Linked DNA regions of Nothobranchius furzeri. The protein of the gene in region 1 purifies or fractionates together with the protein of each later gene. This does not show direct contact. Links are inferred from orthologs where the notes say so. Each region holds a gene or a part of one and is shown on either strand. Other genes may lie near its edges.

The links. Proteins that work in one complex are often made in the same cells at the same time.
Region 2: the proteins of kinesin-associated protein 3 (region 1) and kif3cb purify together in Homo sapiens (co-immunoprecipitation; 3 studies listed by BioGRID and IntAct, counting the BioPlex papers as one, with this or other methods). This does not show direct contact. The link is inferred for Nothobranchius furzeri from reciprocal best matches to the Homo sapiens genes KIFAP3 and KIF3C.

The regions. Positions count from the first base shown.
Region 1 is NC_091751.1:58,732,093-58,735,845, reverse strand, and holds the end of kinesin-associated protein 3, read right to left. Parts: intron 3,727-3,753; coding exon 3,548-3,726; intron 3,435-3,547; coding exon 3,272-3,434; intron 2,746-3,271; coding exon 2,645-2,745; intron 2,565-2,644; coding exon 2,456-2,564; intron 2,377-2,455; coding exon 2,264-2,376; intron 2,159-2,263; coding exon 1,993-2,158; intron 1,906-1,992; coding exon 1,780-1,905; intron 1,695-1,779; coding exon 1,596-1,694; intron 1,496-1,595; coding exon 1,410-1,495; intron 1,328-1,409; coding exon 1,174-1,327; intron 743-1,173; coding exon 658-742; intron 542-657; coding exon 439-541; 3' UTR 219-438; downstream 1-218. UniProt on the Homo sapiens protein: Involved in tethering the chromosomes to the spindle pole and in chromosome movement. Binds to the tail domain of the KIF3A/KIF3B heterodimer to form a heterotrimeric KIF3 complex and may regulate the membrane binding of this complex.
Region 2 is NC_091758.1:20,995,638-20,999,314, reverse strand, and holds the start of kif3cb (kinesin family member 3Cb), read left to right. Parts: upstream 1-875; 5' UTR 876-1,062; coding exon 1,063-2,436; intron 2,437-2,548; coding exon 2,549-2,650; intron 2,651-2,753; coding exon 2,754-2,876; intron 2,877-3,023; coding exon 3,024-3,142; intron 3,143-3,677.

The DNA of each region.
Region 1 (3,753 bases):
TTTTAGTTTTCTTATAATTATAGGAGTTCCCCTTAAGACCACTAATTTAGTGTTTCTTTTTATTTTCTCGTTCTGAATGATCTGAAGTATCAATAAATATTAAAAGAGAACAAATGTGCAAAATAGGACGACAAAAACAATCAAAACTTTCTGTTCATATTCAGAATATTACTGGCCACAACAGTCAGGTAAAGTCAGACTCAAATACTCATCTGTTGCAGATAATGAGGAATGAATGAATGAAAAAGCTGAGTGAATATGAAAGTGGATGTAGCCTGCAGCTTTCCTTTTACTGCAATCCAAAACATGTATTTTAGGGTGTCTGCTCACAGTCCGAGTAAAGGCAAGGAGAACTGGAGCTGTGATGGAACTGGACATGCAGGAAGCTGGAAAGACGGGATGCGGTACATCAGCAGGACCAAAAGTGTGTGTGTGCTCTTATGAGTACTGAGAGAACAGCTGCTCATCAGGTCTGAAGCCGTAAGCAGTAACTGGTCGTCCAGGTGATGAGCTGGTCTGGTCGAAGACGTCGCCCACATCTCTGATCCACAAAGACATTGATATTAATATTACTACACATAAGAAAACTTCCACTTCAGCTAGAAGGTTAGTGATCTTGTTCATTTTCTGATCTGGCTCTGTCTGAGGTCGACTCACCCTGTGAGATGTGAGTCTCCATTCTGAGACTGCAGATCACCGAAGAAATCTGGGCTGACTGAACCATCTCCTGGGGTTATTCCATCTAGAAAAGCATTTAGAAATTTGAATGAGCTGTACAACCACTGCAGCGTGATAGCAGCTGCTAAATCAGCACAGACACCAAAAGCTTGGCAATTGTTTTAAAAGTAGCGAGACGTTTTCTGTGAGAATTTAGTAGCGTTTGTCTAATTATGTGACATTCTCATAACCGGTTATTCTGTATACCTTGTGAGATCAGATAAGAAGCCTGATTGTGTGGGCAGGTGACCCAGAAACATGAAGAAACCACAAACTTAAAGTTTGACCTGATTACATCACTGGATGCAAAAGGTGGACATGAATGTTGGAGCCACAGGAGGCCACAAGGCTAACATCTGGTCTGAGTGGCAGAAATAGACAAGGTCTAAAAAAATGCTTTTAGTGTGAAATTTGCACAAATAGAAGAATCTGCTGCAGCGCTCATCTGGTTTCTACCTGCGCTGTAGAACAGATCAGTCCTCTCGTCGTTATCGTACAGATACGGCTCAGACTCGTCCACTTGGCGACTCTCGACCATGTCCAACCACTGGTTGTTGTGGAAACGAAATTTCTCCGACTGGATTTTCCTCCCCCACTCCTCGTCGTACTCCTGTATATATACATATATATATATAAAACATCTGCGAGTAAAGGTGGAACAGGGTGAGGATACGATGTGCAGGTTCACTTACAGCGATTATGTCGAGCGTGTTGTCGCACACTTTTCTGATCTCGGTGTTCTTGTCGTGCATCAGGTCTATCAGGTAAGCGGGAGCCTCTGAGGAAACACTTAAAGAAAACTAGCAACCTAAAACTTTAGCTCGCATTAAAACCCAGTGAGAGGCGACTGCTGCAGAGAGCGCCCCTGGGAAGGATACGCGTGTCTTTGATGATGACGTCCCGTGTGGCTTGGTGAAACACCATCTGATAAAAGACGTAGACGATCTGACACACAAACTCGTCATCTTCTTGGCGCGCTGCATAAAGGACAGGACATGTGGAGTGAGAGTTGATAATAATCCAGGGAAAATGTCCTAATCTGGTTTTCTTTTTTATTTTTACCATTCAGTAGTTCAATAAGGGCAGGAATGATGCCAGATTTAGCCAACATGACAGCGCAGGCGTCATCCATGGAAACTGTTCCAATCATTATGACCACCTCCAGTATGAGGTCATCCTCTGCCGAGTCTGAAATATGAACAGAGAGGCTTTCTGGCAAACTGAGACAACGGGTAATTTCTTCTAATTCTGTCTTCTGAATGATTTAACTGATACCTGGTTTGAGATTGTCTTTGAGGAAAGGCACCAGGTTATATTCTTTCAGCAGCAGCTCCCAGTCCAGGTCAGGAATGGTGAGGTTGGCCAACGTTCCCAGACACTCCAGGATCCACACCTCCCCTTCTACAGCACGGATCTCTGCAGCCAGATCTCCCACATAGTCCTAGTGAAGATTACTCAGATCATCAGACAAAACAATCCTTCTGTGAAGCACGAGTGATGCTTTAGTTTGTCAAAATGACAAATTACTGTGTGTCTCACAACGTACTATAAACAGCGGCTTGGTTGGACCATCATGCTGTGAGATGTTTCTGATCATCTTCATCAGAAGGCAGTCTTTAGTCTTCAGAGCTCGCTTCATGAGCATCTTCAGTCCATTTCCTAAAACCGGAAAGGCACCAAGCAAAAGCTGTTCAGTTCAAATACAGATTTAGCCCTGAAACATCAAAAAACCAAATACCTTCACACATGAGCTGTGCGTTCTTCTTGTTAGCAGACAGGTTGATGCAGATGGAGATGAGTTCCACATCAATTTCCTCCTCGCCGTGGTCGTAGAGCATTTGCATGAGCTGGTTCCAGACACAAACACAGATTTGGCTCATCCTCTGGAACGCTCAGTCACTATGAATGGAAGTGGATCGTGGCGTACCTGAGGGATGCAGTCGGTGTAAACGAACATGCCTCTGAAGCGGTCGTCCATGCTGATGTGGTACAGGAGGCGCATGGCTACCTGTCGGTTATTCTCATCACCTGCATCGTAACAAACGTGTTCGAATATTCATACACTTACTACAATAATAATAATGATAATAATAATAATAATAATAATACATTTTATTTAAAAGCGCCTTTCAGGACACCCAAGGTCACTTTACAGAAAACACATGATAAAATACAATAAAACAATAATAAAACCCAAACAAGAAAAAACAAAGAGAGAAACAGTTCAAGGTTGTAGGCAGATTTAAACATGTGTGTTTTGAGTTTTGATTGGAAAAGGGTAAAACTGTCGATGTTCCTGATGTCTGGGGGAAGTGAGTTCCAGAGACGGGGAGCAGAGCGGCTGAAAGCTCTGCTCCCCGTCTCTGGAACTCATGGTAGCGAGACGGGCAGAAGGAACCGCAAGATGGATGGAAGAAGAAGATCTGAGTGAACGGGATGGGGTGTGAATACTTATAAGGTCTACAACGTAGTTCCTGTCAGACAGTGGGTTTGACTTCTGTCTCATTTCCGTCATTTACTCAGGAAGCTGTGAAGAATCTGTGTTTAACGTTACCCAACAACGCTGTCAGTTTGGGCACCAGCCCGACTTCCACCATCTTGGCTCGAAGTCCGGAGTCAAACGAGAGGTTGAGCAGCAGACGTAGAGTCAGATTCAACAAATCATCGTGTTCACAGGGAATCAGACGAGCCAGTCGCTCCACGGTGTCCAGCTCAGCCTGCGTGCCACACACACGGTCACATCAGAGCTGGACTAATGACAAAGCTTGCTGACTTCTTGTTAAAACAGGCAAAAGTAGTTAGTGTAGAACAACTAAGCCCTCCTGCTCACCATGTCGTTCTTATTCTCCAGGAAGATCGACAGCTTTTTGAGGAAGGAAACCACCAGAACCAGCAGCTCCTCATCATCACGGTCAAGAACTTTGACCAGCAGTCCAACAATGTTTTTGTTCCTCATCTTCAGCTCTGTCCTGGTGTCCTCAGCGAGGTTCAACAGCAGGTAGAGAGAAACTAAAAGGAAAAAAAAATGAACATAAC
Region 2 (3,677 bases), on another chromosome or scaffold:
TCCCGCCCGGGCCCTCAATTCACCTTGTCACACTTGGCAGTGAAAATGTTTATGTCAATATTGTTAGCATAACTGCAGCGACATTTCTGAGATTAGTAGCAGGCTATTTTATTATGTATGGCAGTCCTCACTCAGACTAGCCGTTAGCTTATCAGTCTGGTCGTGTAATCTCTGTTTAATCCTCAAAGAGTGTGTGTATGCGCATTTACAGTAAAAAGGTAACCAAATTTATAACCCGCCCAGTATATTTATTTTACGTCTTCTTTGGAATTGATTTGATTGTTTGTTTGTATCTCATTCATTTGAATGTTTAAGGACCAGACGGACCAGACGTTATTTTTGCAGGAGTTTAACGTAATGACTCAAAAAGTACCGCATATATATGTAGGCGACTATCTCAATATTATGAGATAGCTAAGTCATAATTTTGAGATTATATATATATATATATATATATATATATATATATATATATATATATATATATATATATATATGAGAGAGAGAGAGAGGGAGAGAGAGAGAGAGAGAGAGAGAGAGAGAGAGAGAGAGAGAGAGTTATCTGAGTGGCGGGAATGGGCTTCCATAAAAACGCGCACGTTTGGACATAAAATTATTACAACCAGATTACTCTTTTCATTTCCTCATCAACATAAAAACGTGTTTATTTTTAAACTTCTTTTATTTGTTTTACGCTCGCGTGGTAATTGTTTGGGGCTAATTTGTTGAAGCGGCGCACTCATTCGTCGCGCAGGTCACGTGTCTGGTCTCCATTGTCTGCAGAGCAGGGTGTGTTCCGCCGGGACTCAGAGCGGGCTGGGTCGGGCCGGGCTGGCTGCTTTTCCCCTCACATCAGCATCTTTAATTATCCTGTGACATCGCTCCATGATGCCCCGGAAAGGAGGAGACGCTTCGGCCTGAGCGCTTCTCCATGATGCTGATGCTGATGACGGTGAGGCGTGTCTGACTTCTTGTTTTGCCGCTGCTGATGAAACTGAGGCACCTGGAGAAGGAAGATAGAAATAAATCTGCGAGGATGTTTGTTGATTCTTGGTAAATAAAATGTCTTCAGCTAGAGCCTGCGAGGCGGTGCAGGTGGTGGTGCGCTGCCGGCCGTTCTCCAGGAGAGAGGAGGTGGCAGAGTGTGAGAACATTCTGGAGATACATGACAAACTGGGACAGATCACCATCCGAAACCCGAAGGCACCGCCTGATGAGCCAATGAAGGTCTTCACCTTTAACTCGGTGTACGGTTGGAACTCAAAGCAAAGTGACATCTATGATGATGCTGTGAGACCTCTTGTAGAGTCTGTGCTCCAAGGCTTCAACGGCACCATCTTTGCTTACGGACAAACCGGGACCGGTAAGACCTACACCATGCAGGGGGTGTCCAACGACCCGGAGAGGAGTGGAGTCATACCAAACTCATTTCAGCACATTTTCACTCAAATCTCCAGAAGTCAGAATCAGAAGTATCTGGTCAGGTCTTCGTACCTTGAGATCTACCAGGAGGAGATCAGGGATCTCCTGTGCAAAGACAACAACAAAAAGCTGGAGCTCAAAGAGAACCCTGAGTATGGCGTTTACGTGAAAGACTTGTCTTCGGTGCTGACGAAGAATGTCACAGAGATCGAGCACGTCATGAACATTGGGAACCAGTCCAGAACGGTGGGCTTCACCAACATGAACGAGCGCAGCTCAAGGTCTCACGCCATTTTTGTTGTAACCGTGGAGTGCAGCGAACTAGGCCCGGATGGTGAGGACCACATACGTGTTGGCAAACTGAACATGGTTGATCTGGCTGGAAGCGAACGCCAAAGCAAGACAGGCGCTAAAGGGAAGCGTCTGAAGGAAGCTGCCAAAATCAACCTGTCCCTCTCAGCGCTGGGGAACGTCATCTCAGCCCTGGTGGATGGGAAGAGCGCCCACATCCCTTACAGAGACTCCAAACTCACCCGCTTGCTCCAGGACTCTCTGGGCGGCAATGCAAAGACGGTCATGGTTGCAACAGTTGGACCCGCCCATAAGAACTTTGATGAATCCCTGGCAACGCTCAGGTACGCCAGCAGAGCCAAGAAAATAAAGAACAAACCACGGATCAACGAGGACCCTAAAGATGCCCTGCTAAGGGAGTTTCAAGCAGAGATTGCACGTTTGAAAGCTCAGCTGGAGGAGCAAGGGATGCTGGCAGAAGAGAGGAGGAGGAGGAGGAGGAACAGCAAAAGACTGAGTAATAGTATGGCTGGGACGGAGGAGGAAATCTTTACAGATAAGACTGTAGGGGAAGAAGATGAGAAGCACAGGCTGATTGAGGGCAACCCAAAGGCCTGCCAAGGGAGCAGCGAGAAACTAAAACATCTAAACGTTAACAGAAGATGTTTGGAGGAATTTCAATGGGACCAAGAAGCCGTGGAGAAGATCATAGAGAAGTATAAGGTACGGACCTGCAGTTAATACCGTTTTTATTCAGCATCTGGTGTGATAAATGACTGGGTAGTTGAACAAAGGACATTTACATAAATAATTTATCAGATCTCTTTGTTCACAGGCTATGGAGAGCAAACTGCTGGTGGGAGGAAAGACCATCATCGATCACACCAACGAACAGCAAAAGATGCTCGAGCTGAAGAGACAAGAAATAGCAGAACAAGTAATAAAATCAGCAATAATAAAGTGTTGGTGATGCTCCATGGTGAAACATTTGAATGTGCACAAGATCGTTGTGACTGCGGGATGTTGGCTTTGATTTGCAGATCAGACGAGAGAGGGAGATCCAGCAGCAGATGATGCTGCAGGACGAGGAGACTTTAGAAAGGAAGGAGACGTTCTCCTCCCTGCAGCAAGAGGTGGAGCACAAGACGAAGAAACTGAAGAGGGTGTGTCTACCAAGTCCGAGTGTCTTTGTTTACATTCAGATGTACATATATACTGTTCAGCACCTTGGACTTCTGCTAAGGTTGTGGAAGGTGCTGTACAAATAAAATTAGATTGTATTTATTGATTGATTAATCTGTTCTCTGTAGCTGTTTGCTAAACTGCAGGTGTTGAGAGGAGAGATGAATGACATCATCGATGAACACATCCTAACCAGACAAGAGCTGGAGGAGACACAGGATGAGCTCACCAAAGAGCTCAAGTACAAGTAGGTCCACACAAATAGGAGACTTTATTAATAACTCAAGTAAAAGTTAATAAACAATAAATGTGAGCTTTCATCACAGCCAGGAAGCTGCTGCAGCATAGTGAACAACAAAATCTAAATCAAACAAAATCGTTAAAGCCACACTGTGCAACTTTTTCATATTTTTAATAATTTTCTTGAGCCAGAATGGGCTAAAATGACCCTTTACATGGTGAGAGAGAGACACTCAGAACCCCACCACCCTCTGTGGTCACTGGTCAGAATACCACATTTGCAACTTCAGAGTGGTTGTCTGGTCCTTGTTGGACTTAGTAAAGTGGAGTGGACATGCCTGGCATTGGAGTCTGCTTCCAGCATGTTTTCTGCATGTTTTAGATGGTGAACACAGCTGATTTGTTTGATTTAGTGATGAACCGCTCTTGTAGAAACTAATGAAGGCTGAGGAGACATTTCAGATGTTAGATTAAGGTGTTAAAGAGACAATTTGTAGTTTTTTACCATTAATCTCTGGAAATTTTCAACTAAATGTTGAAAA